Linked DNA regions of Saccharomyces cerevisiae S288C. Changing the gene in region 3 together with the main gene of any one other region gives a genetic interaction. Each region holds a gene or a part of one and is shown on either strand. Other genes may lie near its edges.

The links.
Region 1: of GPR1 (region 3) and RGT2, changing one enhances a phenotype caused by changing the other (phenotypic enhancement), as found in Saccharomyces cerevisiae (3 studies listed by BioGRID, with this or other methods).
Region 2: of GPR1 (region 3) and GLK1, changing one enhances a phenotype caused by changing the other (phenotypic enhancement), as found in Saccharomyces cerevisiae (2 studies listed by BioGRID).
Region 4: of GPR1 (region 3) and HXK1, changing one enhances a phenotype caused by changing the other (phenotypic enhancement), as found in Saccharomyces cerevisiae (2 studies listed by BioGRID).

The regions. Positions count from the first base shown.
Region 1 is NC_001136.10:210,760-218,854, reverse strand, and holds RGT2 (glucose sensor), read right to left. Parts: upstream 5,505-8,095; coding exon 3,213-5,504; downstream 1-3,212. Other genes in the region: RDI1 (Rdi1p), read left to right, coding at 1-175; 60S ribosomal protein uL29 RPL35B, read right to left, coding at 488-847, 1,253-1,255; Arf family GTPase ARF2, read right to left, coding at 1,781-2,326; SCM3 (Scm3p), read left to right, coding at 6,809-7,480. UniProt on the Saccharomyces cerevisiae protein: Low-affinity high glucose sensor that is part of the sensor/receptor-repressor (SSR) glucose-signaling pathway, which detects extracellular glucose and induces expression of glucose transporters that bring glucose into the cell.
Region 2 is NC_001135.5:48,864-56,552, reverse strand, and holds GLK1 (glucokinase), read right to left. Parts: upstream 5,716-7,689; coding exon 4,213-5,715; downstream 1-4,212. Other genes in the region: ATG22 (Atg22p), read left to right, coding at 26-1,612; glucose-induced degradation complex subunit GID7, read right to left, coding at 1,671-3,908; YCL042W (uncharacterized protein), read right to left, coding at 5,610-5,969; protein disulfide isomerase PDI1, read left to right, coding at 6,332-7,689. UniProt on the Saccharomyces cerevisiae protein: Two isoenzymes, hexokinase-1 and hexokinase-2, can phosphorylate keto- and aldohexoses in yeast, whereas a third isoenzyme, GLK, is specific for aldohexoses. All glucose phosphorylating enzymes are involved in glucose uptake.
Region 3 is NC_001136.10:387,000-396,082, forward strand, and holds GPR1 (Gpr1p), read right to left. Parts: upstream 5,059-9,083; coding exon 2,173-5,058; downstream 1-2,172. Other genes in the region: pseudouridine synthase PUS9, read right to left, coding at 514-1,902; SLM3 (tRNA-5-taurinomethyluridine 2-sulfurtransferase), read right to left, coding at 5,660-6,913; ATP-dependent RNA helicase DBP10, read left to right, coding at 7,218-9,083. UniProt on the Saccharomyces cerevisiae protein: Seems to associate with GPA2 and act as G protein-coupled receptor that senses glucose and controls filamentous growth.
Region 4 is NC_001138.5:253,092-260,671, forward strand, and holds HXK1 (hexokinase 1), read right to left. Parts: upstream 1,959-7,580; coding exon 501-1,958; downstream 1-500. Other genes in the region: proteasome regulatory particle lid subunit RPN12, read left to right, coding at 1-238; YFR054C (uncharacterized protein), read right to left, coding at 5,764-6,342. UniProt on the Saccharomyces cerevisiae protein: Catalyzes the phosphorylation of hexose, such as D-glucose and D-fructose, to hexose 6-phosphate (D-glucose 6-phosphate and D-fructose 6-phosphate, respectively).

The DNA.
Region 1 (8,095 bases), 180 kb from region 3:
ATCGTATGCTCCTAATACCAAGACCAAACCATTTTATGAGGTGGAACTACCGGAAAGTGAAGCACCTAGTGGGTTTTTAGCAAGAGGTAACTACAGTGCCGTATCAAAATTCATTGATGATGATAAAACTAACCACTTGACTTTAAATTGGGGGGTCGAAATTGTCAAAAAATAATAAGTTCTTGAAATGCACAATGTAGATATGGCCTGTATAAACAAGAGCATACCTTTATCTACATATGGATTAATACGACTTTCCTGTTCTACTACACTTTTTTTTTCTTAATTTCAAATTGAAGTATAGGGGTAGGGCTCCTGACTGATTATGACGTCGGATCCTATGACAAAGATGGCAAATAAAAATTTAATGTAGTATATTGATTTAGCTAGTAGATCACTAATAAAATAAATTGCCGTTTGGTGTTCTTAAAAAATACAAATTAAACTATATCCAAAAATCAAATATTAAAATGATAATCTAACGAAATTAAGCCTTGATAGCGTACTTTCTTTGTGGGAAAGCGATTTGCTTCTTTCTTTGCTTTTCGGTAACTTGGGAAGCTTCGAATTTGGTCAAAGCTCTTCTCAAAGCTCTGGTCTTCTTGGCTCTCAAGTCCTTTGGTTGGTACTTCTTACCCTTGTATAATTGTCTAACAGCTTCTCTTTGTTGTTCGTTGATGACGGTCAAGACACAGGCGATACTCTTTCTGACGGTCTTGATCTTTGGCAAAGATGGTCTGGACAACTTTTGGACCTTCAATTCAGCCAACTCCTTTTTCAAGTCAACCAATTGAGAAGCTAATTGTTCCTTGGATTTGGTTCTTAGTTCGTAAGCTTTAACGCCGGCCTATTGATAAGAAAATGGGAACAAAAAATCATAACTGTTAGTAAAAGTTCCTGTTTTTATGAGCCAGTTTCAAATTTTTAGATTCTCGTATACACTAATACGCTCTGTGCAATGCATTATCCAAAAAAAATAGTTCACATGTGGTTCCAGGTTTCTGAAGACCAATATTATAATTTCGAAAACTTCCAAACAATTTTAACAAGTGCCATAAACTTATAAATTTCTGTTACCAAGTTGTAGCTGGTGAGATCTCTCTGATATTTGCCTGCAAGGTTTGCAGTAATACTGTAGCTGTAAATTTTCTTCAGACCACTTGATTATTTATCCTGCAGACATTAAAGGAGACTTTTTTCTTCCATAGCACATTATATCACGTCCGTTTCATGTATATTCATCTCTACATACCATTTTTAGTCCTATTTGGTTCTTTATCGTGTTCTCACTGTACTACCAAACCCCCAAAAAAGAGATGTGAGTAGATTTTCAATATATCCATTTCTCATATGATGACGATTGCAGGCCTCTATTTACCCTCATCTTCAGTAAAATTTCACAATCGACATGAAAAAAAATTCAAATGTTTGGGTGCTGAATCCATGGTGGAAAATTCGTAGCATATGCCAGACTTTGTGTTGGACTCGCTGCCGTCAGGCAAACCACAGATGCAATATTATAGAATAAAATGTACGGGTTCAAAGCAGGGCCTCTTTTCATTTTTTCATATAGTAGTGGTATAATTCTGAATGTCATCATGGCGCCCGTTACAAGCCGTTGCAATATTAAAGAGCTAGTAAGTTTATTTTCAGTGCACCATCATTATCCTATCTTATACAACTATACAGTGGTTTATATCTTCAACAATCATAAAAATAAAACAATCTAGAAACAAAACACACAAGGTCCGCATGACTAAACGTTCTATACAGATTTAGATTAGGATTGATTCTTCAAGTTGTTGCTTAACCACTCCAGACCTTCGTACAGACCTTCACCCGAGGTTGCACAAGTAGACTGGATAAACCATGGACGGTTTCTAATAGAATGTAAACCTAATTTTTCGGTGATTTCAGCAGCAGACATGGCTTCTGGCAAATCTTGTTTGTTAGCGAAGACTAACCAGACAGCATTTCTCAATTCATCTTCATTCAGCATTCTCTGCATGACTTCTCTGGCTTCACCAATACGCGATCTATCGTTGGAATCGATGACAAAAATAACACCTTCGGTGTTTCTGTAGTAGTGTCTCCATAAAGATCTAATCCTGTCTTGTCCACCGACGTCCCAGACAGTGAAGGAAATGTTCTTATATTGGACAGTCTCAACGTTGAAACCAATGGTTGGAATGGTAGTGATAACTTCGCCCAACTTCAACTTGTACAAAACGGTGGTCTTACCGGCACCATCTAGACCAACCATAAGTATACGCATCTCTTTGTTGCCAAAAAGATTGCTGAATAACTTAGAAGCGTATAGACCCATCTTTTCTCTATGAAATCTTAATTCCTTTTTTTTTTATCTCTATTGGTTGGCTGATGTTAGTAATTACTACTTAAAGAAAAAAAGAGAGATATTGAGCACAGAGACGCTAACAAGAAGAACTTCTGTTGACTTTGTATGTCAACTCCTTATCTTCGTTCGAAAAACATCAGAGCCGTACTGCTCGACTCCCCACAATTAGGATAACTAGGCCCTATTAGATAATCAATACGGCTTCCTGATCAAATAAAGGGGCGCCTTTAGGAACTCATCCCACCGTTCAGTGGAGAGAGTCCTTCCTTCTGGGTATGATATAACACGTAGTACCAGATAGTGTCGTGCGTCTATCCCTCCTAATGAAACTCGTTACATACAAAGTGTCTGCCTTATCTTTAGCCTATTGCAACTTGAGTCTGCGTAGAAAGTTTCCGAAGAATTAAACTACTATTAACAAAGGGAATGGAAAGAGCTAAAACAGTTCAACCGATAACAGGTGACGAGGTAACAATAATCGCACACGTCCGATCTCCTGTAAGGGTATATGTGTACTATTCAAAAGGAGTACGTGGAGGTGCAAGATCGAACAACAACAACCCGCATCTGGAACCCGGTGATTTAGGAAACCATACATCGTTAACGTACCACATGATGTAGATTATCCGGGTAATAGTTATGATCAGTTGACCCATTTTGTATTCCACTTGACACCGAATTAACGAGGAAAAATCAAACTCATGGGCTACTTGTGAGTAATGTTATGTGTTATCTATAATTCTTTTCTATGTCTATCATGTTGGAATGTTAAAAGAAACTCAAGAGTGCGTGTATAAGAATAATTTATATAAAACGGTTTATAAGACCTCGAACGATCGTAAGATGCTATTGGTTTTTATTGGGGGGAAGTGTATTGGCTGTGCTTACTAGCGAGGTCACTCGTCCAATTAGAGGACGTTCTTGCATTGCTATTGTGTGATGGAGAGAACGATGTGTCGTTGCTTGTAGTAGATGAGCTATTGATTAGTTGAGCCATATATGTATTGACGCTGTTAGCTCCATTTCGTTCAGTGTTGTTATTGTAATAAGAAGAGTCATTTTCCTCATAGAACTCATCAGTAGAGTCAGAAATGATAGAAGGAGGACCTCTATTGTATGTATTCAGACCCAAACCATTCCCCAAGTCGACGTAATTTACTGGCGGATGTTCCACGGGTTTAAACTCTGTAGATGTTAGGGGGGCAGTATCGATGATGTTTACTAACGAGCCACTTCCTTTATCCGCCGCAATCATATGATCATTGGACTGTATTTGGTTCTCCAAGAATCCATCCACATCGATTATGTTGTGGCTGTCATCCTGTACAATTGGACTGTTGTTGTTGTCCAACTTTCCAGCGTTCTTGATATTAGTTTTCATCTCTATTTGTTGTGAAATGGGAAAGGCTAAGCACCTTTTCCTTATTTTTTTGTTCCATTTGCTAGAAATGACGCTATTTGGGGCCTTTCTAAATAACTCGTCAATCTCTTCCAAAGTCAATCCCCTCGTTTCATAAACAGCGAAATAAACAACGATAACGGCCACGACATTTAAGCCGCCCCAAATGAAGAATATTTTGGGCCCCATTGAAGAAGTGTGTGATCCGACATCAACAATGTAAGGTGTAATCAGGGCACAGGTGAAATTAACTAGCCAATTTGCGGCAGCGCATATGGCGGTACATTTCGATCTGACACCAAGTGGGTACAGTTCAGCAGATACCACCCACACGACACCACCCCATGTCGCCGAAAATGCAGCAATGAAAAGGCATATAAAAGCAATCATAATTTTACTAGCAACAACAGTTTTTCCCTCGGAAACACCAACGATGGCAATGACTAAATTTGCTATTGCCATTATGACACCTCCAGCAAGAAGGACTGGTCTTCTACCAATTCGATCCACTAAATACATACCCGGTATACTGAAGGCGACGTTGACGGCATAGCTGATAAAAGAAACCAAGTAAGAGTTGTCCACCCCTGTGTTGTTGAAAAAATTAACTCCATAGTAGAATATAAAATTGATACCAGATGCCTGTTGAAAAGCTTGTATGGCGATACCAGTAAATATTCGTAAAATCTGTTTGGGTCTATTTTCACTTGTTTTGAAACAATCTAAAAGTGTTGACGGGCCGAACGATGCTTCATAATCGTAAGTGGCTTTTATTTCAACAAGCTCCTCTAAGAGTCTTGGATCTTCGATCGGGAGGCCTCTTAAAAAGGATAACGATTTTGCAGCTTTATTGAGTTCATCCTTCAAGACGTAATATCTTGGACTCTCTGGAAGGAATATCATGCCCACAGCTAAAATACTTGACCAAACGTACTGCAAACCAATTGGTATTCTATATGAAGACGGGCCATTTTTGGAATGAGTTCCTTGCGATACTGCACTGGACACGAGTAACCCAATAGTGATAGCCCACTGATAACTGGAAATGATGGCACCTCTAAGGTTCTTCTGCGCAGCTTCAGCTTGATAAAGAGGAACCACAGCAGAGATTATCCCGATCCCGATACCTGAGATCACTCTTCCGACGATTAATAGCACCAAGCCACCGGATGCCACCTGTAATGAGTTTCCGATGGAAAAGATAACAGCGGTACTAAACATAATTGTTGGCTTCCTACCATATGAATCTGAAATATAGGGAGCGATTAACGCACCGAAAAATGTTCCTAGGGAGAGGAATGATACGAGTATGGCTATTTGGCTAGTGGTGAAATATGAATGGTTCGGAGCAATGTAGGTTTTAACATACGGCATATCCGTGATACTGTTTATAAGTCCAGTGTCATACCCAAACAAGAAGCCCCCCACGGCAACAAATATGCCTACCAAGACAGACATCACATTCGATCGCAGCGGCAGCGGTTGCGATAGTAGAATGGACGTGGTTTCTATAGCTCCATCTCCCGCCGGCTCATTATTTGTGTAGGAAATTTGGTATGCGTTAGGATCGTCGCACATCACTATGGACTTTGCTTCCGTGTCATTCGTAGATTCTGTGTATGCATTGCGGTGTGGCATGTTGTTATGATTTATCGTACATTCTGCACCCTGGTGGTGGCCGAAGTCATTTCCAGGATTCAGATGACTATTTTCTTCCCTCTGTCGTAGGCAGTTTTGGCTATCGTTCATACAAGCAATATTCGAGATATTTCCATATATATATAGTGGTTTCTGTGCAACTTGATGGTTTAGACTATTGATACTATTCCTGATCTGCTCTTTAATTTCACAAGCGAATGCCTTAGCGTCAACTAAAAAAAATGAATACTGGATGTTATATGAAATTAGGCAAAGGTTTATTGTTCGATGCTCTCCACTTATGAAATAGATACGCTGAAGAGCTTATGTCTGTTCCATGTATATGTTCTACTTTCGAGGTGGAGGAAGAAGCAAAGGGGAAGCGTGTACGGCAGGTAGTCACCGTTGAGTCGGTAATGAGATAATAGCCAAGCGCGGAATTAGATTTTTTTTAATAATTTTTGCCCATTGCGGTAAGTATCACACTTTTTCACATATGAGCCGATTAAATTCTTTGTTCAATTTATCTCGGGGAGGAAAACTCAGATAAGAAATGACGGAGTTAGATTGAAAAAATCGGAAATCATTTTGTTAGGCATGCGGTAGAATTGGATAGGGTAGCGGCGACATCTCTATGCCGATGGACGATGCAGGAACAGGGAACCCTTTTCTTGCAAGGAAAAAGGCGCTAGTATCACAATTGCTACTTTTCATTAAAAGGTTATCTGTGCCATGTATATACCCTGCATATCTGAAATAAAACAGATTTTTTTTTTGTGAATTGGGTTTGACTTACTTTGTTGTAAGGGCTTCAGCTTGTTAGTTAATTTTAAGGAATTATTAAAAGAAAAAATCCTGCTTATCATTTTTTTTTTATATTTTGTTGTTGGTTTCAGGAAAAAGGGAGCTTTGCAAAAAAAAATAAAAAAAAATTGACAGGATGATCTATAAATATATTAATTGACCTATATAATGGTTTACACTGTATGGTTTCTAATCTGTACAAAAAAAAAAAAAAAAACCCTACAGAAATATGTTAAACAGCTAATAAACGAAATCCAATAAGAAGAAAATGTACCTCAGTCCAAGAATGGGCTATTATTATTTTAAGTTTCGAAAGTTTTTCCACTAAAATCAGAACTAAATAATGGAATGGCCGTCTGCCGGATCAGCATAAAAACATCTTCACAAGTTTCATACTTTTTTTGTCTGAAGCTGTGAAGCTTTACTTTAAGTAACTGTCATCTTTTCCTATTGTAACGTATTTTATATAATGCGCAGGCGGAAGGAGAAAGTTTCAAGGGCGCCATGAAAAAAGCTTCAGTACCGCGATTTTTCAGCTAATGGATCAGATGATATATAAACAAAAAGTGGGATACAGCATATCGACGCCTCCACTACAAATTAACAGAAGGATGAAAACCAATAAGAAAATTTCTAAAAGAAGAAGCCTGAAAAATCTCCATGGTGCCTTAAAAGGACTATTGAAAGAGTCCGGCAAGAAGAGTGAGTCCAAAATACGAAAACATAGCGATTGCAATCCTGTTCATCGAGTATATCCGCCAAATATCGAAAAACGGAAGACCAAAAAGGACGATGGAATTTCACGGCCAATTGCTGAAAGAAATGGTCATGTGTATATAATGTCCAAGGAAAACCACATCATCCCTAAACTAACCGATGATGAAGTCATGGAGCGCCACAAACTAGCAGACGAAAACATGAGAAAAGTGTGGTCCAACATCATAAGCAAATACGAGTCTATTGAAGAACAAGGAGACCTCGTAGACCTGAAAACTGGTGAAATAGTTGAAGATAATGGGCATATCAAGACGCTGACGGCCAACAACAGCACGAAAGATAAAAGAACAAAATACACAAGCGTGCTCAGAGACATTATCGACATCAGCGACGAGGAAGATGGTGATAAAAATGATGAATATACTCTTTGGGCTAACGATAGCGAGGCAAGCGATTCAGAGGTGGATGCTGACAACGACACTGAAGAGGAAAAAGACGAGAAATTGATAGACGCAGATTTCAAGAAGTACGAGGCCAAACTCTCGAAAAGGATATTACGAGATTAAGGTGCTAAAATGCCGTATATTCGAATTTCATTACCATCAGAATATATATATATATATATGAGTCTATATTAGGGACTATCATACGGTAACCCGGACCTCCATTACCCGCATGACTTTACTCACTAAAGACGATTGTCGGTTTTAAACATTTTTTTTTTTTCATTTCGACCGTCGGTTCTCCTTAGTTTGTTCAGTGGCAACAAGTGGACAAACAAGAAGAGCGTGCAGCACCATTCACCGCCAGCTTTGTATCGTCCTTTAGAGTGCAGCAAGAACATTAATTGCTCTCACAGAGGTATCATAAGAACATCCGATTCGTTCATTAACTGAAATCATATCTGTGTTGTTCTGATCGACTCTCTTTGTTAGTTTTATCTTCCATTTTTTTTTATTCCTTTCATTTTCCAATAAAATTTGAACAGGATCGATATAAACAGATAAAAACCCTCCAAAGTTAACCATTTGTTTATATTTGCTTTTCTGCATAAGTTTTCCTAGCGAATTCCCTGATCAACTTTCAAGGAAAACTAAAACTACTGTATTATAAGAGGTTTTTTTTTTCATTCCAGATTAATTTTGAAATACGATATCCTCAAGTTTATCTACCAGAATATT
Region 2 (7,689 bases), on a different chromosome or scaffold from region 3:
TCATAACATATTCTCTACATTAGATATGAGCTATGGAACTATAAATGATATGAATGAATCGGTAACGAACTATCGAATAAAAAAAGCCCAAAACAATATCAAGGGATGGTACGCTTACTCATTTTCTAGCGAACCATTTGTCGTTTCTGCGGTTTCAACGTATATTCCCTTACTACTGCAGCAATTTGCGAGTATAAATGGTGTAAAAGTTCACGATCACTCCATACCCTGCCTGTCAGAAACGGGTAGTGATTCAGATAAGTGTGTTCTTGGTTTGTTCAACAATCGGATCTTCGTAGATACTTCAAGTTTTGCATTATATGTCTTTTCCCTTAGCGTTTTATTCCAAACTATAATAGTCATTTCCGTTTCAGGGATAGTAGATCTCTGGGGGAGCGTTAAATTCAAAGGCAGAATTCTGGTTTGGTTTGGTATTGTGGGCGCATTGTCGACTGTTGCGATTTCAAAATTGAATGATACCCAGATTTATTCTCTGGCTGGGCTTTATATAGTGGCCAATGGTTGTTTTGGCGTTATCAATGTTGTTGGGAATTCTCTTCTGCCCATTTTTGTCAAGGATTCTTTGAAATGTCAAAGTCAAGGAGCTTATGAACCTGATAAGGTAGACTCGTTAACTACTGTTATTAGCGGTAGAGGTGCATCTTTAGGTTATTCAAGTGCCCTCATTGTTCAGATTGTATCTATGTTCTTAGTCGCATCTAAAAAGGGCAGTAAGCAGGATGTTCAAGTGGCTGTTCTTTTCGTTGGGATTTGGTGGTTTGTGTGGCAACTGCCCATGATCTGGTTGATTGACGATGTGACAATACCGATAAGAGTTGACGATTCTACATTAGCATCCGCCCGCAGTCCGTATCCCGGTGAGCAAGACGCCTTGGGTCAACTAAACTGGAAGAATTACCTTTCATATGGTTGGGTTTCGCTTTTCGAATCGTTTAAACATGCCAGACTATTGAAAGATGTGATGATTTTTCTTATTGCGTGGTTTATTATTAGTGATTCCATTACAACTATAAATTCTACAGCGGTTTTGTTCTCCAAGGCAGAACTGCACATGAGTACCCTCAATTTAATCATGATAAGTGTTTTGACCGTTGTAAATGCAATGCTGGGTGCCTTTATGATTCCACAATTTCTTGCCACAAAGTTTCGGTGGACTTCTAGTCAAACTTTGATGTACATTATCATTTGGGCAAGTTTCATACCATTTTATGGTATTCTTGGATTTTTCTTCAATGCGTTCGGTTTAAAGCATAAGTTTGAAATGTTCTTATTGGCCATTTGGTATGGATTATCACTAGGTGGCCTGTCCGCGGTTTCAAGATCAGTTTTCAGTTTGATTGTACCTCCAGGAAAAGAATCCACGTTTTTTAGTATGTTCAGTATCACAGATAAGGGGTCGTCCATCCTGGGACCCTTCCTTGTTGGACTGCTTACCGATAAAACGCATAATATTCGCTATTCGTTTTATTTCTTCTTTTTGCTTTTGATGCTATCATTGCCTGTGCTAAACTGTTTGGATGTCAAGAGAGGTAGAAGAGAGGCTGAAGAACTCAGTCAAGTTTTACCTGAAAGTGAAAGAAGGTTGGATTAGTTCTTTTTTTTTTTTTGTTACATAAAACTTTGCTTACGTATATATATAAGGTGGAGTATTAATTTCTTGAAATTTTCCAGATTTTTATCTTACCGTCATCACCGCCAGAAGCAAACATTTCTTTATCTGCAGGGTTTGATGCAACTACGTTACAATTTTTCCCCATGGGTTTTGTGGAATTACTCATTACCGTGGAATGACCGGATAAAACAGATACTAGGTTACCTCTAATTCTATCCCAAATGTAAATTTTACCATCTTCTGATCCGCTCATGACAAGCTTATTACCGTAGGCGAAGCAAGATCTGATAATAAAGTGCTGTTGCTTCTGTCCAAAGTACTTTTGTATGAGAATATTTTCTTTATAGTCCCACATTTGTAATTCGTTATCTTGAAGGCTAACTAATACCAAATGTTGAGACTCGGATATTTGTTGCCTATGGAAGCCTTGATGCGTGGTATTTAGCGGTAATGAGATACAAGTCATGTTTTTGCCCACGTCCAATCTTGCGATCCTTGGAATCAGAAAGTTTTTGGGATCCACTGTTTGCTTAGATAGCTCCTCTTTGGAGGGGAACCCACTGAAATCGTAGACATCTATAACGCCCTGGTGGGTCATTAAAAGCACGTATTTATCGTCATAGCTGATTTTCACGTCGTGCACACGTGGAAAGGTTTCGTCGTCCTCCACATATTGCCAGTTACCATTGCTACTTGTTGGTTTGTAAAGGACTTTTGCAGGATCGATTGATTTTCTCCCAGAGATGTTTTCATCGTGGCCCAACGCGATACAAGTCCTGCCTTTTAAGCTAAAAAGTGACTCTTTCGTGGTGAGTGAGTGTACAATAGCTTCTCTGTCGGGCGATCCAACCACCATCCAGCCCGCACGTTCCGCAGTGTGGAAGGCATCGCAGCACCATACTCTTGATTGATTAGAATTCGCGTTTGCCGGCCTCGAGGAAGATGATGCTGATGATTCGGTATCATCTGGGTACGTGGTGGTGTCCAGTTTAAACGAGTCCATGGGCGAGAGCCTGGTAGAAGGGTATAGTAGGAACGAGTCTGTGGCAGACGCATCGGGCAGGGAGGTGGCATTCATGTCGTAAATGGTAACATCTTCGCTGAAAGGGCAAGCAACCAGATACCGGCTATCAGGAGAAAACATGAGGTACAATACGGATTGTGACAAGCTCACGCAAGTCTTATAAATTTTGAAGTCTTGTTCCACATCATAAACAGTAATGAAGTAGCCTCTTGAAGACTCGGAAGTCGCAGAAGCCAAATACTTGCCATTGGGCGAAAATGTCAAAAACCAAATTTCGTCTGTGGTGTCTTGGATAGTCTTCCATTCTTGAAAGGTCACAGTCAGATCGTGTGAGAAGTTATCCTGCAAAAGGTTGATCCGGTGGGGTGGAGAGGAGAAAGAGGCGTCATCATCCGGATCGATGATATTAAAAATGTCTTGTGATTGTTGATACTTGATGGCCTGTTTCAAGAGATGCAAGAGACGACCCTTGGGAACGAGTTCGTTCGGATCGATATATTTGGAGATGGCGTCAATCAGATGGTCTCGCTCGAGGTTCAACTGCGCGGTTAGTTTTGGGTTGGTCAGGTACGTCGACAGTTCTCTCAAGGTCGTTTCCGGATTGAAGATGTTTTCTTCATTTAGGAACTGATCGTTAGACACCAGCAGGGAATCCCATATCTCGATGAAGTTTTTGAGGATTTTGCGCAAATACAGGACGGGCAGTGCAGTGTGAGGGCCCTTGTGAGAGGCGGAATTTGTGACTGGATGGAAGAATTCGAGGAATATTTGTCTATTAACTAGAATCATGATCTCTACGTAATTTCTGAGCGTGGCGATCTCTGCGTCCGAACAAGTAGATGAATTTACAGAGCTCATCAGCTGTTGCAGGTATTGCAGTTGCAGGAGCATGTGGTCGAAAAGTGAAGTCGTGGCGGGCGTCGGCGTGGGAATGAGCAGCCTTTGAAGCCATTCGGACCTTAGCGGAGAGCTATGGGCAAGGGGCAGCGAGCAAACAATCTGCCAATTAATAAGATGGAATTGGCCGGTCTTGATGAGTTTGAAGAAAGTCTGGATGTGGTTAGACTCATTTTGATATCCGCCGCTCTCTAGCAGTAACTGGTTAGCGGCGGAGTCGTAGCCCAGCTCCTTTAGAGTATGTATCAGTAATTTAGTGAGCTGTTTCTTGTCAAAACAACCAACGGAAGAGGGCGAGGCTGTTTCCTCCGTGTCATTGTTCAACACGTATGCGATCTTATTAGTGTGTGACATTTTATTAGTTGAAGTAGTACGCCCCCTTGGAAGTGTTTTTCATATTTGACTTCCAAAAATGATAAAGGAAGACCTAGCAAGGCATTTATTGTTCTTCATTTTCCCTTAAAAACCAAAGGCCCGTTTCCGATGATATTGTTCATTAATGTGAGAAAATCATACATACATACATACGTTCTTATACGGTATTGTATAAGAATGTATGTATATACACTGAAAATATACATATATATATATATATATAAAGGAGAGAAGATGGTAAGTACGGTGGGATACGTACACAAACCAAAAAAATGTAAAAAGATCATGCTACAAGCGCACACAAGGCGGCACCCACTCCGGAACCATCCTTGGCAATCTTCAAGTGCACCTTCCTCTCACCCTCGGCACCCAAGGGTGACAAGGCTAAGGCGTGTCTCAGCATAGATCTGAAACCGGGGTAGTATTCCACAACGGAACCATCACAACCGATCTCGACTTCACCATGATATCTCTTGTTCAAAGCATTTGTCTTGATCAATATCGCGGCAAGCGGCACGGCGGCTAAATACGCAGATCTCCTAGAAATCGCGCGCACCAATTTTTGAATTTGAACACGCTCTGTTGGAGTGGTGGGCAGTCTGAGACTCTGTAATAATGACAACTCTGTTTCACGTAGACCTGTCGAGTCGTCAATTTCAATATGCGACAGCACTTCGGATGACAACTGGAAAGGTGTAGTCAAGTGGCGAGGAAGTTGTTCCTTGGACCTGTACTGTTGCAAAAGCAAGCCTTGCGAGTGCAAGTCCACTAAAATGTTACGCAACACCTCACCCAAGAACATCCCTGAGACACGTTTTTCAAACAAGTGAAATCCCGGGTTCGTTGACAGTTTCTGGTCAATTACGACGTCATACTTAGTAGTAGGCAAGTGCTTGAGCTCATTATCGAAGGACCCCCATTCGACATTGATGATCATGTGTGTCTTACCCTCCTTTATCAACTTGTCACGCAACTCCTGTGGCAACTTCGTGATCTTGTTGATCTCCTCCATATAGCACCCATTGGTACCGGTACCGAAAATACATCCGATGACCGGCTCCGAGATTTCTCCGGACGTCATTGAGTCCGTGTTATCGGACGTGTAGCAATGCGATAGGTACGTTCCGACGGTGTCGTTGGTTAATGCAACAACCTTGATCATAGGCATACCCTGAGCGCTTAATTGCTCCTGGTACAATTGCACGACATCCTTTCCGACGGTGTCCGCGATGCGGAAACCCTTGGTCCAACGGATCAATGTCCCGGAGTTTAGAGAGGTCTGGTCTACAGGGTATGAGAAAGTGAACCCCAGTTTCATGGGCTTGGCGTCTTTACCCTTGGCCAACTCGTCCGGGTGATACTTCTTCATAAAGGCCAGTGTACGACGTGCTAGAAACCCAAACAGGTCGTCAGATGTGACGTTCTCATCGTCTAGCAAATCATCGGGAATCTTGGACTTCATTTGCTCCATGGAGAAAGTATGATCTCCATGCAAGTTAACAGAACATATACGGAAATTGGTACCACCCAGGTCGGCGGCTAGTAAAACACCGCGCTCCGTCCCGTTGGGTGACCCGGTGACGAACGCCGGAATCATAGGAAGACCTTTGTCCGAGGCCAATGTGTGGCCTTCCTTTGGTGGAGCTAGACCTTTTTCCATTTGTTCGATGAAGTAAGCAGTTAATTCGTCCAGCTTCTCGGGGGTAACCTCGAAATCGTCGCAGATCTGGTCCACGGCCTGGATGACCGCTCTCTCAGTGGCTTTGTGTAAGTCGTCGAATGACATCTTGTGTATGATAGAGTTGTATTAGTGGTGGTGTTGTGGTTTACGGAAGCTGAGTTGGGCACTGATGGGGGGGTTGGGGGTTCTGTTGATAGCGGATATTTATATGGGCGCGTTTTCATTAGTGCCCACCGTTTGAGCGTGGTGTGACACCACGCCCAAGATAGGGGGCCCCCTGAAAGGGGTTGACCGTCCGTCGGCACACCACTTATAATGCGGGGTGCAAGCGCCGCGTCTAAAATTTTTTTTTTTTCCATTTTTGTCGTTATTGTTATTTCCCGTTTTTTGTTTTTTTTGATTTTTTCGGAGCGACAAACCTTTCGAAACACGTGTCCTGAAAATTATCCTGGGCTGCACGTGATAATATGTTACCCTGTCGGGCGGCGCCTCTTTTTCCCTTTTCTCTCACTAGTCTCTTTTTCCAATTTGCCACCGTGTAGCATTTTGTTGTGCTGTTACAACCACAACAAAACGAAAAACCCGTATGGACATACATATATATATATATATATATATATATTTTGTTACGCGTGCATTTTCTTGTTGCAAGCAGCATGTCTAATTGGTAATTTTAAAGCTGCCAAGCTCTACATAAAGAAAAACATACATCTATCCCGTTATGAAGTTTTCTGCTGGTGCCGTCCTGTCATGGTCCTCCCTGCTGCTCGCCTCCTCTGTTTTCGCCCAACAAGAGGCTGTGGCCCCTGAAGACTCCGCTGTCGTTAAGTTGGCCACCGACTCCTTCAATGAGTACATTCAGTCGCACGACTTGGTGCTTGCGGAGTTTTTTGCTCCATGGTGTGGCCACTGTAAGAACATGGCTCCTGAATACGTTAAAGCCGCCGAGACTTTAGTTGAGAAAAACATTACCTTGGCCCAGATCGACTGTACTGAAAACCAGGATCTGTGTATGGAACACAACATTCCAGGGTTCCCAAGCTTGAAGATTTTCAAAAACAGCGATGTTAACAACTCGATCGATTACGAGGGACCTAGAACTGCCGAGGCCATTGTCCAATTCATGATCAAGCAAAGCCAACCGGCTGTCGCCGTTGTTGCTGATCTACCAGCTTACCTTGCTAACGAGACTTTTGTCACTCCAGTTATCGTCCAATCCGGTAAGATTGACGCCGACTTCAACGCCACCTTTTACTCCATGGCCAACAAACACTTCAACGACTACGACTTTGTCTCCGCTGAAAACGCAGACGATGATTTCAAGCTTTCTATTTACTTGCCCTCCGCCATGGACGAGCCTGTAGTATACAACGGTAAGAAAGCCGATATCGCTGACGCTGATGTTTTTGAAAAATGGTTGCAAGTGGAAGCCTTGCCCTACTTTGGTGAAATCGACGGTTCCGTTTTCGCCCAATACGTCGAAAGCGGTTTGCCTTTGGGTTACTTATTCTACAATGACGAGGAAGAATTGGAAGAATACAAGCCTCTCTTTACCGAGTTGGCCAAAAAGAACAGAGGTCTAATGAACTTTGTTAGCATCGATGCCAGAAAATTCGGCAGACACGCCGGCAACTTGAACATGAAGGAACAATTCCCTCTATTTGCCATCCACGACATGACTGAAGACTTGAAGTACGGTTTGCCTCAACTCTCTGAAGAGGCGTTTGACGAATTGAGCGACAAGATCGTGTTGGAGTCTAAGGCTATTGAATCTTTGGTTAAGGACTTCTTGAAAGGTGATGCCTCCCCAATCGTGAAGTCCCAAGAGATCTTCGAGAACCAAGATTCCTCTGTCTTCCAATTGGTCGGTAAGAACCATGACGAAATCGTCAACGACCCAAAGAAGGACGTTCTTGTTTTGTACTATGCCCCATGGTGTGGTCACTGTAAGAGATTGGCCCCAACTTACCAAGAACTAGCTGATACCTACGCCAACGCCACATCCGACGTTTTGATTGCTAAACTAGACCACACTGAAAACGATGTCAGAGGCGTCGTAATTGAAGGTTACCCAACAAT
Region 3 (9,083 bases):
GTAAACAAAGAATTGCGTCGGTCAACCGGTTGTTGCTGCGTGCTTCAGCGGGTGATAAATAAAAGATTTCCTATCTGAGTAATCGATGACACAAGCGGTCTGCGCTCGGTCGCTTCCAAGCCTTAACAAAGTTTTTACTTTATGGTTTTTAATAAATAAATAAAAAGAAACGTGGATTTGGATAGCAGAAAGCCTCGAAGATCATTTTATCAATGAAATTTTATGGTTAACACTTTCAAGACTCCGATTTTCTCTGCTACGTGAAATTTTAGGTTGCGAAAAGAATACTACCGGGAATACTAGGAGTGTGGAAGAAAAGAAATGGAAAAGAAAAGGAGAAGTGGTCATTCTTCACATCTCATTGTCTTCCTCCTGTAAAGATTTTAGCTTTTTTATAAATTAAGATTAAGATTGTAGCGTGATGTTCTGTTACTGTCATTTTTGATTGGCCAATGACTGATTATAACAGAAGACCAGTTTTCTATGTATTATTGTCCGACAAGTCAGGAACCTCTATCTTCTCAGAGCCCATTCTGGATACTCTGTTTTGTAGCACCACTTTTTCTTTTCGGTTCCTTCTTCAGTCTCAGTTGATTCGTATAGATAGGCATGTAACCACAGATCAAGATCATTGGGGCCAGGATCAGTATACAAATCAGATTCACAAATAGAACATTTTTCTTGCCTTAATACCTCACCGTACCCGCCATTACTATGGAACCAACTTTTAGCAGGTTTTCTTTTCCCTATTTCGTCTAGCTTAGTAATAACTATATCGAAGTCAGCCTGGCCGCCTTTTCCGAGATTGTTACCCCATACTTCATCATTGGAATAAATAGGATCGTTAGCAATTGGGTGGCCTAAGTACTGTAAATGTACTCTAATTTGATGTGATCGCCCGGTAAGCGGTTTGCACTTTACAATACTCGTTTTACCGTCGTAGCTGATTCTGTTAAAAACAGTTTTTGCATGTTTGGCTCCTTTCTCGTCCATTTGACAAACTGCATTAAGAGCAAGCCTTGGCTCGATCAGTTTTAGAGGTTTTTCAACAATTACTTCCGTTTCTGGAAATTCTCCAACTACCTTGGCCACGTATTCCTTAGTGACTTCTCGAGCTTTTAGTTGATCGCCGATATTATCGGCTCCCTTCGGAGTTTTTGCCAAAAACATTAATCCACTTGTAAGCCTATCTAACCTATTACATGGGTTCACAACAAATCCGAGATTATTTTGAAGCATTTTCGTAATTGTATTGAACCGATATCGGCCAGTTGGGTGAACAGGTATACCGCTCGGTTTATCAATAACCATTATGTTATCATCTTCAAAAATAACTTTGATAGGCCTGGAAGTGACTGGAGGTTCATGTCTATGTACCTGATGCGTAATCAGGTCACCATTGCGAATTACAGTAGATAAGTCCGCAGTTTCATCGTTTATATGAACGTCCCCGTTTTCGATTGTTCTTTTATAATATTCAGATTCACGATCTCGAAATTCAGATATAAAGACATCAACCAATTTTTTATCTCTCCAACGCTCTTTGCAAAAGGTCCTGTACGTAAAATGGTAGGGCTTGATTTTCCTTAGAGGGCCATCGATGACAATTTCATACTCTGGATCTAGTTGTCTATGTTTCTCTTTTTTGCTGCCTATCGTTCGTGATTGAAAAGTAGATTTATTAATCAAATCTGGCGATTTTTTTGATTGAGTTCGCTTTATTTTTTTTTTCTTTTGAATTTCCCTCTCTCTTTCAACCTCATTTTGCAAATGTTCATCAAACTCATTTGAGGTTGCATTACCTGCAAAAGCAAGACCTGCAGATAATGCATTCCTTTTGAGTTGTCGAGCCATTATTACTGGCACTGTAAACAAATTTCTTAACCTATTATTTCTTTGCATAAGTTTCCTATTCCATTATACGAGCACTCATCCATTTTCAAAAGTTTTTTATGAACTTTTTCTTAACTCGGTCTTTTGTTCTCTAATGGTTCGCCGCCAGACAGAAAAAAAGCTTACTTATCGAGGAATCACATTGCTTCAATGAATAAATTCTATAATGCATATACTACCTAACATATATAAGAGAAGTGAGCGTCATTCATGTCGGCTACTTGTCAATTTGTATTACGTTCCTTACTTTCCATTTTCAAACATCGCGATACAAAAACTTTATAATGGTCCATTTCTTAAGAAGGCTATCAAATCTATGCCGCTACTATCACTACTATCATTATCGTTCTGCGCCTCAATTATTGGATCAGGAGTCGTACCTGGTATTGTGGGCTTGACCAGATAATTTTCAGATGCACTAGCATCTGAATAGCGTAAATTCTTATCCTCTTCAATGCTATTCTCATCATCGTTTGTGACAATATTGCTTGAAAAGAAGCTGGATTTGACCATACTGTTAGTTGAGACGTCCTGATGTTTATCGTGACTTTTATTTTGGTTTAATGCAAATTTCAACCCGGGTAGAGAAAAATGGTCGTTATTGTACCGTATTTTCAACAATCTGTTTAACTCATCAAGATCTATTCCGCCAAGCATTGGAATATGATGAATGATCCTCCAAAACAAGGGCACTTCAACCTCTTCGGCCGTGATGTTATTAAGCATTGCCTGTAGTTCAAGTGAATTTGATGGAAGGGAGCGATCGCTACTATTCGTTTTAGTCTCATCAGATTCTGTGCGTTTATTATCGTTTGAATCTTTGGCTGAATAGTAGTTTTCCCAGTATTCAAAATCGTCACAATTGTCATAAAAACTAAAGTGTAGTTTTAGTTCAAACAATTGTTTAAAGAAGCGTTCAACAAACCACAGTATACGCTTCAGAGGGTTTGTAGAATATTTCCAGCATTTTCTTTTCTTCCACTTACCACGATAATACCAACCTCTTTTCCCCCAATTGCTGTGACAAAACTTCAGAATTTCCTTTTCACCAAGCTCTCCTTTCAGAATATATTTTTCAATGAGATATTTTGATTCTGTTTTTGCCCATGAATAGTTCCAAGGTTTTTCCTTGAACAGGTAAACAATGACGTCGACGAGACAACTTAATGGTCGAACGCAAGTGTCAATGTATGTCACCCACATGGTAGGCCCATGCTTTATTTCATGATTGTATTGCAACGCATCTGCAATGATGGGGAAAAGCCATATCCCAATATACGACAGTGGATAAATGAATATTGCCCTTAGATTCTTTTGAATTTGTGCCCTACGTTTTTTCATTTGTTTGTAGGTTTGGGCTTGGAAATGCTGTTGTACGTTGGTGAAACTTGAATTTTCGCATCTGTCTGCATTATTATTCACTCTCTCCTGTGAAAATTGTTGAGACGGAGTAAATGCTTCATTAGAAAGTGTAGGAATATTATCGGCTGGATTAGTATTATTGTTATCAACGTTATTTTTAATATTATTACTATTATTATTATTATTGTTGTTGTTGTTGTTATTGTTATTATTATTGTTATTATTATTATTGTTATTATTATTATTGTTATTATTATTATTGCTATTATTGTTATCGTTATCGTTATCGTTATTGTTGTTGTTGTCGTCGTCGTCGTTGTTACTGTTGTTGTTGATGATGCCTCCTTTTTCCTTAATGTTACTAGTTATGTCGCTGTTATCGTTCTTATTATCATACATTGCTAAAGGAGATTCTAGAGAATTTTGGCAAGAGAAAGTCTGATGTCCCAGCATTGAACTTTTTCTTGTATCCAGTCCTTCATTTTCAACACTAAAAGTAACTTTATGCTCCTTTTGCTTGGATACTAGTTCCGAAGGATTGAGTGTGATGTCATTTTCACAATCAAAAGGATTATTTCTTTCCAAATCTGGCTGTTCAGACATTGCATATTTGGACATATCGAGTGGTTTAGCACTGTTATAGTCAAGTAAGCGAACTCCACCACTTGCCGAGACATTCTCATCACTACCTGTATTTGTTTTTCTGAATAGTGTAGGTATCTCATTCGAACTCTCACCAAAATTGAAAGTTCCATTACTACTACCTGAATCGTCTGTTTCCTCATTCGGATCTATGAACGAAATGGTGAAAAAATTCTTTAAATTTCTCAAAAGATGTAGCAATGGCAATTTAAAATAGGATCTGAAATACCATTTGGCTTTTCCCCAGTGACCGAGCCCAAATAATTTTTTCTTTTCTTTCTCTTCCTCTAGTACGTTATGGTTAAAGTCTCCAATTTGCGCTTTAATTCTTTTACTTTCACTGGTAATGAAAATATAAATACTGAGGTAGACTGCAAATATGAAAATAATAATGAAATATCTGGGACCCCAGCTTAAAACAATTTTATACCAGTACGGCTTGGGTGGTAAATAGCACCATGCACTCCAAGGTTTGTAGCCACCTTGCCTGGGAGAATCGGGAAAGTTGTAGTTATTATTATCCAGTATAATAGTGGTGTCAGAATCGTCATTGAGTTTATTATAATTAATGAAGGCTAAGCTTGCTAAAATGGCAGGTACTAATGCAGTAATTGGCCAGATATATGACCTTTTTTTGTACAAGCCACCCTCCATATTTCCCGATCTTTTATTTCGCCATTTCCAATTAGGCTTGAAGATCAAAATAGCAAAATGTATGGCGAATATCATTATGGCCATGTCTGCACCTTCGATGGCAAAGGCCGTAAACCAACCCAAGGTATTAAAAAATGCAGGTGTTGCATACACACTATTATTAATAAGGATAATCATGGGATAAATCATCAGAATAAAAGCTTTAAGAAAGTCGCAAATTATCAAAAATGCGATGAGATCATGTCTGAAGACTTTTCGTCTCTTATCCATTTTAGAAAGGAAGAACATTCCGAGGCAACCGGCAATAAGGGACACGGCAGACGCAGTTATAGCTATTATTCTTAACTGCAACAGTTGCGGAGCCGTGAATGTAGAGGTCATCCCCGGCAACCCCAGCAGCTGGTTAACCGTGGTAGTGTTAAGCTGTCGGAGAGAATCAACTCTCTTTTCTAGTAAGGATGACCCTTTCAACGCGTTTAAATTCGGGGGAAATCCCTCAGTTATCATTTTGAGTTGGAGAGTTTGCTTTATTCGTCACACTTCGGATCACTTGTTTGTCGTTTTTTTTTTTTGGTGACTCTTACTGCTTTTTATAGACACACACACACACACACACACACACCTTCTTCTGGATACCGTAGAGAAAGGGATGTAGACAAATAAAAAAGGACAAAAGCTAGAAAAAAGACGGAAGAGGACGTGCGATTGCGTTGAATATGACCTTCGCAAATAAATATTAATAAATATGACGTTTTTGCCGCAATGCTAATTCTATAACCCACTCCTTCGTTGCCTTCTATGCTTTAATTAAACAATGGGTCCGGCTCAAACCTGGAAGGAAGATTTATAAATCTTGAAAAGAAAAAAAAGTGTGATTTAAAAAAATGAAAAAGAAAAACAAGAGGGCAAAAAAAAATGAACTACTTATTGAGACATGATTCAAGGGAAAAGACCTTCATATATACAGATTACTTTTCGAAATGGTCAGCCGCTTCATGAGCTCTTCTTGGCTGTATCGTACCACCGTGGTTCAATTAGGCAAGTATGTTGCTAAGATTAATTGCTGCGGCGCATCGTATAAGGTGATATACTAAATTCATTATCATCACTATGCATGGGTGTCATTATTATTAACATGGGAAATGGGCCCACTCCCAAGGACTCTATCGTCGATATATAGACAGCACGATTGCCCAGGAGTTATGGCACGTTGTTTTGAGGCTAAGTGTATTGTTATGTCGAGGTTGTCGGCAGAGCGATTCAGTTTGCACGATTTAATTTGGACTGGGACCTGCAGGGACCGGAATTGTAATGTCAAGGCACCAGTATTTTGGAAAGCGTTTATAGTGTCCTCCCTGGGGCCCAAAGACGAAAAGTTTTCGATTCGCATAGTGTCACTGTATAGCGCCGGATTATCTCTTCCTCTGACTATCAAGATTTCGTTGGTATCCCTTAGTTTTTCACTGACAAACCAGGTCCCTTGGTAATTAGGGTCAGCTTGTGGCATGGATATGCCCACTTTCTGTCCAATTGTGTAAGACCACAATCCATCGTGTCTGCCCCATGTCGTTTTGGCACCGGATTGTGGGTCAACGGTAATGATATCACCCGGTGAACTGGGTAGGTAGTGCTTTAAAAAATTCTTGAACTTCCCATGCTGGGAATTGTTGACGAAGCATATGCCCTGTGAATCAGGCTTTTCTGCAGTCGGGAGGCCTGCATACTTCGCTAAATCTCGTACTTCTGGTTTCGTTAGATGGCCAATGGGTAGCAACAAAGATGACAAAACAGTGGAGTTGATTTGTGAAAGGTAATAGCTTTGATCCTTGGGCCTATAAATGCTTCTCAGTAAATGGAATAATCCTTTTCCATTCATTTCCTGCATAACTCGGGCGTAATGACCAGTAACAAGCCAATAGTTACCCGTCCCATACTTCTCATCCAGCCACTCTCTCAGCTTGCCGAACTTGACGAACTTGTTGCAACCGATATCTGGATTGGGTGTCGACCCTTCACTGTAGCCTCTCAACATTGGTTCAAATACATCTATCCAATAATCTTGCTCAAAATTAACTTTGTCAACTCGGATGTTCAAATGCTTAGCGACACGGTTCACATCTCTCCAATCCCTCTCGTAGCATGGCTCCTTGCCAGGGTCGTCCAAAGATTGTGATTCAGACCAGTTCTGCATATATACTCCTCGGGTATTTGGAAATTCTCCGGCAAATAGTGCTGCCGCCACAGAGGAATCTACCCCAGATGACATTGCCACTATCACGTTGTCAAACTTTGCCGGTAGCCGCTGTGGTCTGTACGGTGAAGCACTCCTCCGTCCTATTAAATTTAAATATCTTGCCAGCATTGTTATCTGACTTGAATCGATTGCCAAATCAATACGCTCACATTTTTAACGTTCTTGTATGTTTCCAAACTTTCATTCTTTTACAATAAAGCAATGTTTTGCCTCAACTATTGAAAGAAAAAAATAAGAGACCAATTGTTACTACCCGGCGCTCTTAAAATTTTCAAGCGATGAGATGAAATTCATACAAAATGGCTTTACAGAGAGTTACTAGTACTTCACTAACTTCCTACTGCTTGAAGTAAAGTCACTAAAAGTACTTTTGTCATTTAAGTTACCACCACATATCTCTTTAACCTAGAATATGGCAGGCGTGCAGAAAAGAAAAAGGGATCTCGAAGATCAAGACGACAATGGAAGCGAGGAGGACGACATCGCCTTTGATATTGCAAATGAAATTGCCTTAAATGATAGTGAGAGTGATGCTAACGACTCCGATAGTGAAGTTGAAGCTGATTATGGTCCCAACGATGTCCAGGATGTGATCGAGTACAGCTCAGATGAAGAAGAAGGAGTGAACAATAAGAAGAAGGCTGAAAACAAGGACATCAAGAAAAAAAAGAATAGTAAGAAGGAAATAGCAGCATTTCCAATGTTAGAAATGTCAGATGATGAAAACAATGCATCTGGTAAAACTCAAACCGGTGATGATGAGGATGATGTCAATGAATATTTCTCCACAAATAACTTGGAGAAAACAAAGCATAAAAAAGGTAGTTTTCCCAGCTTTGGCCTATCCAAAATTGTATTGAACAATATTAAAAGGAAGGGATTTCGCCAACCCACTCCTATTCAAAGGAAGACTATCCCATTAATTTTGCAAAGTAGGGATATTGTTGGTATGGCACGTACCGGTTCTGGTAAGACTGCAGCATTCATCTTGCCAATGGTGGAAAAATTGAAAAGTCACTCAGGTAAAATTGGCGCCCGTGCAGTCATCTTATCGCCTTCCAGAGAATTAGCCATGCAGACTTTCAACGTTTTCAAGGATTTTGCCAGAGGAACAGAACTAAGAAGCGTCCTCTTGACTGGTGGTGATTCCTTGGAAGAACAATTTGGCATGATGATGACCAACCCAGACGTTATTATTGCAACACCTGGTAGATTTTTACATCTGAAAGTTGAAATGAACCTCGATTTGAAGAGTGTTGAGTACGTTGTTTTCGATGAAGCTGATAGGTTGTTCGAAATGGGTTTTCAAGAACAGTTGAATGAATTACTTGCATCTTTGCCTACAACAAGACAGACTTTGTTGTTTTCTGCTACTCTACCTAATTCATTGGTTGATTTTGTTAAGGCTGGTTTGGTTAATCCAGTTTTGGTTCGTTTGGACGCGGAAACGAAAGTTTCAGAGAACTTAGAAATGCTTTTTCTATCCAGTAAAAACGCAGATAGAGAGGCGAACCTATTATATATTTTGCAAGAAATCATAAAGATTCCGTTAGCCACTAGTGAACAACTTCAAAAGCTGCAAAATAGTAACAATGAGGCAGATAGTGACTCAGATGATGAAAATGATCGCCAAAAGAAGAGGAGGAATTTCAAGAAGGAAAAGTTCCGTAAACAAAAAATGCCTGCAGCTAATGAACTTCCTTCTGAAAAAGCAACTATTCTGTTCGTTCCAACAAGACATCATGTGGAATACATTTCTCAACTCTTAAGAGACTGCGGATACTTGATTTCGTACATCTACGGTACTTTGGACCAACATGCTCGTAAACGTCAATTATATAATTTTAGGGCGGGCTTAACTTCCATTTTGGTTGTTACAGATGTTGCTGCAAGAGGTGTCGATATTCCAATGTTAGCCAATGTTATTAATTACACATTACCTGGTTCATCAAAAATTTTTGTACATCGTGTAGGTAGAACTGCAAGAGCCGGTAACAAAGGTTGGGCATATTCCATTGTCGCTGAAAATGAATTACCTTACCTATTAGATTTGGAGCTATTTTTGGGGAAAAAAATTCTTCTAACACCAATGTACGATAGTCTAGTCGACGTGATGAAGAAAAGGTGGATAGATGAAGGAAAACCGGAATATCAATTTCAACCCCCAAAGCTTTCTTACACAAAAAGACTCGTTCTAGGTTCATGTCCAAGACTGGATGTTGAAGGCTTAGGTGATCTTTATAAGAATCTGATGTCCTCTAATTTTGACCTTCAGTTG
Region 4 (7,580 bases), on a different chromosome or scaffold from region 3:
CTACGACTTTCTCCCTCTCTCCAACATAAAGGCTTTGCTCTTTTTCAACAACGAAAAAGAAACTGAAAAATTTGCACTAGAGAGAAACTGGCCTATTGTCAACTCGAAAGTTTACTTCAATAACCAATCAAAGGAGAAAGCTGATTACGAAGATGAAATGATGCATGAAGAAGACCAAAAGACAAACATTATCGAAAAAGCAATGGATTATGCCATAAGTATTGAAAATATTGTGTAATATTTGTATATATAATATGTGCACAAAATTACTACAAAATAAACAACTTTTTCTCTCCCGGAGAACAAAGTAAGTGGAAAAAATTATACTAATAACAATCTAAAAATGTTTATTAGCTAGGATTATACACATAAATATATATATATGTGTGTGTCTATATTTACATATACTAGACCGCAAAAAAAACATAAGGGCATCACTCATAAGAATAATAATATTAAGGGAGGGAAAAACACATTTATATTTCATTACATTTTTTTCATTAAGCGCCAATGATACCAAGAGACTTACCTTCGGCAATTCTTTTTTCGGACAATGCAGCAATAACAGCAGCACCTGCACCTGAACCATCCTCAGCTGGAACAATCGTAATTGGATCTTTGCTTGCGTCACCAGTCCATCCATAGATATCTCTCAAACCCTTAGCGGCGGCTTCCTTGAAACCTGGGTATTTGTTATAGACAGAACCGTCAGCGGCAATGTGACCAGTCTTGTAACCTCTCTTTTGGCAAATAGCGGCAATACCACAAACAGCTAATCTAGCAGCTCTGGTACCGATCAATTCACAAAGTCTTCTAATCAACTTACGTTCTGGCAGAGTGGTCTTGACACCAAAGTCCTTTTGGAAGATGTCATCAGTATCTTCCAAGTTTTCAAATGGATCATCCTCGATTCTTGCTGGGTAGGAGGTATCCATGATGTATGGTTGTTTCAACTTGCTTAGATCTTGATCCTTCAACATCAAGCCCTTCTCGTTTAATTCAAGTAACACTAGACGCAACAATTCACCCAAGTAGTAACCGGAGGTCATCTTTTCAAAAGCTTGTTGACCAGGTCTTGGAGATTGTTCGTCGACAGCAACATCGTACTTGGTTCTTGGCAAGACCAAATGTTCATTATCGAAGGAACCATATTCACAATTGATAGCCATTGGAGAGTTACTTGGAATATCGTCTGCTAATTTGCCCTCCAACTTTTCGATATCGGAAACAACATCATAGAAAGCACCGTTGACACCAGTACCGAAAATCACACCCATCTTAGTCTCTGGGTCAGTGTAGTATGAGGCAATTAAAGTACCAACAGTATCATTAATCAATGCTACAATTTCAATAGGCAACTCTCTCTTGGAAATTTCGTTTTGTAGCAATGGGACGACATCGTGGCCTTCGACATTTGGAATATCGAAACCCTTGGTCCATCTTTGCAAAATACCTTCGTTAATCTTGTTTTGGGAAGCTGGGTACGAGAAGGTGAAACCTAATGGTAAGGTGTCCTTGGTGTTTAGCAATTCTTGCTCGACCATAAAGTCCTTCAAAGAGTCGGCAATAAAGGACCATAACTCCTCTTGGTGCTTAGTGGTTCTCATGTCATGTGGTAGTTTATACTTGGATTGAGTGGTGTCAAAGGTATGGTTACCGCTCAACTTGACCAACACGACTCTTAAGTTAGTACCACCCAAATCAATGGCCAAATAGTTACCAGATTCTTTACCTGTTGGGAATTCCATGACCCAACCGGGAATCATTGGAATGTTACCTCCCTTCTTTGTCAAACCTTTATTCAATTCGTCGATAAAGTGCTTAACAACCTTTCTCAAGGTCTCGCTGTCAACTGTAAACATATCTTCCAACTGATGAATTTCATCCATCAATTCCTTGGGCACATCAGCCATGGAACCCTTTCTAGCCTGTGGTTTCTTTGGACCTAAATGAACCATCTTATTTTTTCAGTATTCTAATTGAGTTGTTTGGGTGAGTTTGATTAAAAGAAAAGAATTCTAATTGAGTATTGCAAGCCACAATTGTTTCTTATTGCTCTTCTGCTATATATTGCGCTAAGAGAAAGAGAAGAATACAAGATGAAGGAACGGTAGAATATTCCCAAGGAAGTGAAACCGATTGCTTATATACGAAATATTCCTCTTTAAAGAAAAGGAGGAAACAGAAGCAGTTGAGAACAATCTTTGTTGCGTTCACTTGTTACTATTCCTCTCAACGGTCCTAAGGTACCAAAATCCGGGGGGAGAAAGAAACTTTTTCTTTTCATCAACCCCTTAAAAAAAAATGCATAGTTCTTAGGTCTTCCATTTTTTCTTTTGTTGGTTTTTGCAACCAGAGTATTTTTCCTGGTTGCTCCAGTAAGGTATTTCGCTATCTTCCAACAAACGGGGCACACGTGCGGGAGTTTCAAAGGGGCAGAATAGTGGGGTTCAGGGGCATAAGAAGCTCACACAATGCGGAAAAACAAAAGGGGACTGCCATTCTTCCTGAAACCCACGCGTCACTGCTATACTGAGATCTGGCCAGGGGCAACCAGTATACTTAGTGGATAAACGACAGGAACACGTACTCCTTAAAAGCGTCTAAATCTTCATTTTTCCGGTTTATTTCCAACCGGGAAATAAATTATTCCTAATAAAATTTCCGGGGTTTGCAGGATGCGGGGTAAAAGTAAAAAAATGAAAAAGATGTAAAAAGAAAAGTTCGAGGTAAGACCAGGTGCAAGGAGAATACTGGGCGCCAATGCTTTTACTGCAGCGAAGAAAAATTCTAACCGTCTGTTTCGGTTGCTAATTTTTGTCTTACTTTCGATGGTTAGGCTTCGTGGGGTAAAAGTCGAGCTTGTTTTCTGAAGCGGAAATTACAGCAGTTTGCTAGGTGAGTTTTAACTTTCCTAGTTGCATCCCATGGTCTAGATAATCACCCCACCCCACGCCATTCTTTTTTTGCAACACGGGCTTTGTTCCTGAAACAACTGGCATGGAAGATATTCCGGGGTTGTTTAACAATAAACGTGTAGAGTACAGGTAGAATATAGGCGAAGCCGCGGTGAGCACGGAATCGCGCATGGAAGAAAACACACCAGGTAAGCCTTTGGAACGCCATGTGTAAGGTGCAATGCACATGAGTGATTGTTAAAAACAGAAAAGTAAAAATTCCGATCTTGTCTGGAGGATCAATCGTCCTCTCAGTGCGTTTTCTTGGCGAGACAATTCAATTCGCTTTATGCTCTTTTTTTTTGTGAATTTAGCCAATTCCGGAAAAAACATAAAAAAATGGTTATGCATTCTTTATTTTGAAGAATGAACTAGATATACAGTAATATACTAAATTGTCAGCTCTCGGCATAATTCAATGGCCGGAAAGTAGTACTATTAAAAAGAAGTGCGCTCAAAGAATAACTCCGGGAATAGGTGATGTAGCTTTTGGTGCTGGAAGCGAACCGCTTTCATGTGTTTTGGTCCCGGCTGTAGTGTTCTGCGGAGTTGCACTGGTGCTGTTGGTAGAGATTACGATTTTGGTAAATCCTGGTGTGACGGCTACATCAGTACCTCTAGTTAGACCAAACACTAATTCAATGCCAAAACTTAGACGCCCGATGATATTCCTTGTATATATATTATTATCCGCTATGGGCACAGAAGTATGTTTAACAGTAGCAGAAGCGACTTATGTATGGATGTCCAACAACGAAGATGCCACAAACGTCTTCGTAGTTTTATCCACGGCGCCAGGTCTGGAGAATGGACACCAGGGTACTAAAATCATTAATTGCTCTTCCACCATCCTAACGTTGTTGACATTTAGTGTAGATACTTGGTGAAATATGTGCTTGTGAAAGCGATTGTCCATTCTTTATATATAGTCATGAAAGTAGTTAAAGTGAAGAATATATTAGAAGCTTTGGGTTCAAAAGAGGACGGTGAAGTGGCTCGCTTTGTTAATATATTGATTTATCCGAAACCCGGGAAGCACTCTAGAACTATGCCTTAGCATTTTAGTGGTCGAACTAGCCAGTTTTTCGATTGTTGGATGTGTTGTAATGACGGTATTATTTTTGCTCAATGAGTTAAAAGGCGAAAGCGTCAAATTGTAGGTCAGAATATGACTGACAGAATCAAACTGTCTGACAATTGCACAGGAGGATTGGCCGGAGTAAAATCGTTTAAGGTAGTATAAGCAGGTTGAGCAGACAATTGGCTAGAGCTAGCCATTGAGCCTAAAGAATTGCGAACAAGTCGGATAAGACAAAGGGAACTAATGTACAAGATCTTGTATCCTGAGAAGAGGAAATAAGTACTCAAGAATGGGCCAGAAATAATGTTAGAGTTTATAGGGGTGACAGCCCTTGAGCTAATAAATACTACAATAACAGTGTCCGTTTGAATGCTGGTCGGTGAATCAATCAAAGATTTGGTTGCAATGATATGTGCAATTTTGCTGATGGAGCTTGCTAAAGTTGTGATATTAGTCGAGATCCAATTAGAACGGATTAGGCGGGAATCGCTTGAGGGATCGCCAAAAATACTTGTGATTTGTGTAAGTTGGTTGTAATGCAAACCTGCTATCTTTACTTTCGAACAAAATAGATGAATCAGCGGCTAAGTATTCTGTGGCTAATGTGCTAGATACATGTTGAGTACTGCTATTTGTGCGCAACCGTTCTAACAATGCTGAGAGATGATGAATTGAATATATCAGAAGTTTTACTAGCTACAGTAGTTGAGGTACCAATAGTGGGGGTATGCGAAAATTTACTAAAAGCACTGACTGGAGTTGTGGTACTAGTGAATACCTGGTCCAAATAGGTTATGAAGGAATCATTTGAGAATTGGCTAGAAGCAACTAAAACGCCCGTGGATTGAGGTTCAGATTTGCTACTGTCGCTTTCGAAGAAGCTAGATGAACCACGGGTAAAGTATTCTGCATCTAATGTGTTCAATAAATATTGAGTGACGTTATCGTAATGTTACAGTACTAACACCGCTAGAAAATGCTGGTGTGAATGTGAATGACGATAGACGGACTGATGCACTTTTCCATTGTACGATAACATTACTTACAAGATTGGGAGAAGCATGATTGAAAATTTGACTGGAAGAACCACTTATATTAGGAGTGGCGGTATTAGTAGAAAATTGACTAAACGCATCCGAAAATTAAATAGAATTTAAAGTTTCCTTGGGTGCACTGTTTTGGGCTGCAGTGCTAAAATCCAGAAGTGTTGGAGTCAGGTTACTTGTTTGCATACAGACATTACTGAAGTTTTCAGAAGGCCTTTGAATCGAGAACGAGATAAGGAAGTGTCCTCTAAATGCAATTTTAGAGCTCAAAGTGAGGATAGTGGCACTGAAACTTGATTTAGTTAATGGCCTTTAGATTTGCTGCTGTCTGAAAAGCTCATCATCGAGAAGCTCACAAAATGGAGTTCTAGTTGCCCTTTCACTATACAATCGATGTAAAGATGGCTTATAAGTATTTGAATTGTAAGTTTTGTGCTAGCTGAGGAATCAAAAAATGTATTTAGTGCTTCCTTACTGGTCAATTGTGTATTATTTCCAGATGAAACAGAAAATATGTATTTTATGGATTGACTAATCAAGTCACTTGCTGATTGTGTAATAGTGGTGGTTAAAGAAAGTACAGTAAGTTTGCTTGAAATACAGGCAGGATTCCTGGAATACTGCCTACTACTGCTTATTGAATAGAGTGTAATCTCGCCAAACCCAGTAATAGCATCGTTTAAGAAATGGTGCTTACTTGTAGGTAAAACTTCTGAAGGATACTGAGTAAATGTAAAATTATATGAGTTAAGGCAGAATGACTGTAAACTTTTGTGACGAATCTGGAAGATGCATTCGTCGATTGGCCTTCATTAAGTGAAGATTGGTAACCTATTGCATCCAAACCAGAAGTAATACAACCAGAATGTGGAGATGAGGAGCCAACAGGTGTGTATCCAGAAGGTTCAGCCACAGGTTGGTCATCAATACCACTGGGGGAGCATGCAATATAATCAGATGGTTGCGAGGAATAGCTAGTAGAGCTAAAACTGAACACATTAGTTAAGATTAGACTAGCCATGCTCAAAGAAACAATTAGAGAGGCACCTACATGTTCGTTATCCATTTTTGAGGAAAAAATAGAAGTGATAATAATAATTTTGCTCGAACTACTCGTAAAGCTACTTGAAAAACGGCTCGAGATTACGGAAGAGTCGGTAGTAAACCGACTCTCAGTGTCACGGAATGGAAGCGCCTTGAAACTACTAATATCAGGTATGCATTGAGGGGCAAGGCAACCTGAATATGCAAAGAGCATAGTCTTAACTTTCGTAGTACGTAATACTTCGGCATTAATTTGGCCTACCGCTTTGCCACAGTTGAGTGGTCACTGGAGTATTAGCCATGAAAAAATGATCCCTTGTATATCCAGGCCCAAAGTCTAAAATGTACTTCCTGCCAATGGTTGTCACAGCTAATATTCCATTTTGAATTGACTTGATTTTTAGATTATTATCATGGAACCAAGTTGATGTCTTGCAATTTCTGATTTTTAACGATGTACTGGAGGTTGACGACTAGGCAAATCTGCGAAACATCCTAGTACAATGGCATTTGGTTCTGATGACAAAACAATAGTTTGTTCCTCCACTGAAATGTTATTCAAATCTTCGATATAAAAAATGCGGTAATTTCAGACCCAAAGACATCCATTACCCATCATGCTAAATTGTGGGATAAGATATATATGGTTAATTGATCTGATTCAGCTGCAATAATATCGGTATTTATTATGGTACCTTCCATGCTCTTTGCCGAACTGCAGATAACCTGCGTCTGCAAATTGCAGGAATTACTGAAAATGAAATTGCTAAACTTTGGGAGCTACTAGAAGAAAAATGAGTACCTCTCCTACTTATATTTCCCATTTTCTTGAAGGTTTCTCCTTCCCATATAAGAATTCCAAACGGTGTTCCTTTACAAACCCATAAGGGTATTAAAATGATTCTCAAAATTTCCTACTGCACTATTGTTTTTTCTTTCTAATAGATGAATCATCCGTACACACACAGAGACCACCGTTTACTTTCATATCAGAATAGAAGTTGTGAAAGCTACCTACGAGACTTAAATAAACATCTTTTTCGATGGTGAGCTTTTCATGGTAATTCGTCGAGACAGTAACTGTTTTGCTCTTTTCTATGATGTCTAAAGCCAAAACAATGTCCATCAAGACTAGCGTAATAAAAATCAACCTGCTCATTGACAATTGGATTATTTTTGGCTGTTCAAGATTAAAACAGACTCAGTAGGCAAAAACTTCAATCAATAGTACCGGGAAGATGACATTCCGGTCTAAGTGGTATTATACACTTATAGTAAAGTCACGTCAACCTTTGTTACTTTTCTTAATTGATTATATACGCACTCTTCTCAATATTTGATTTCTTCATCGAAAAGATCTACACGAAGTTTTTATCATGTGTTAGCGTGATGGAAAAGATCTGTGCACGTTTAATTAGAATTGCAAAAGCTTCAATGGGTTTGATTGAGATT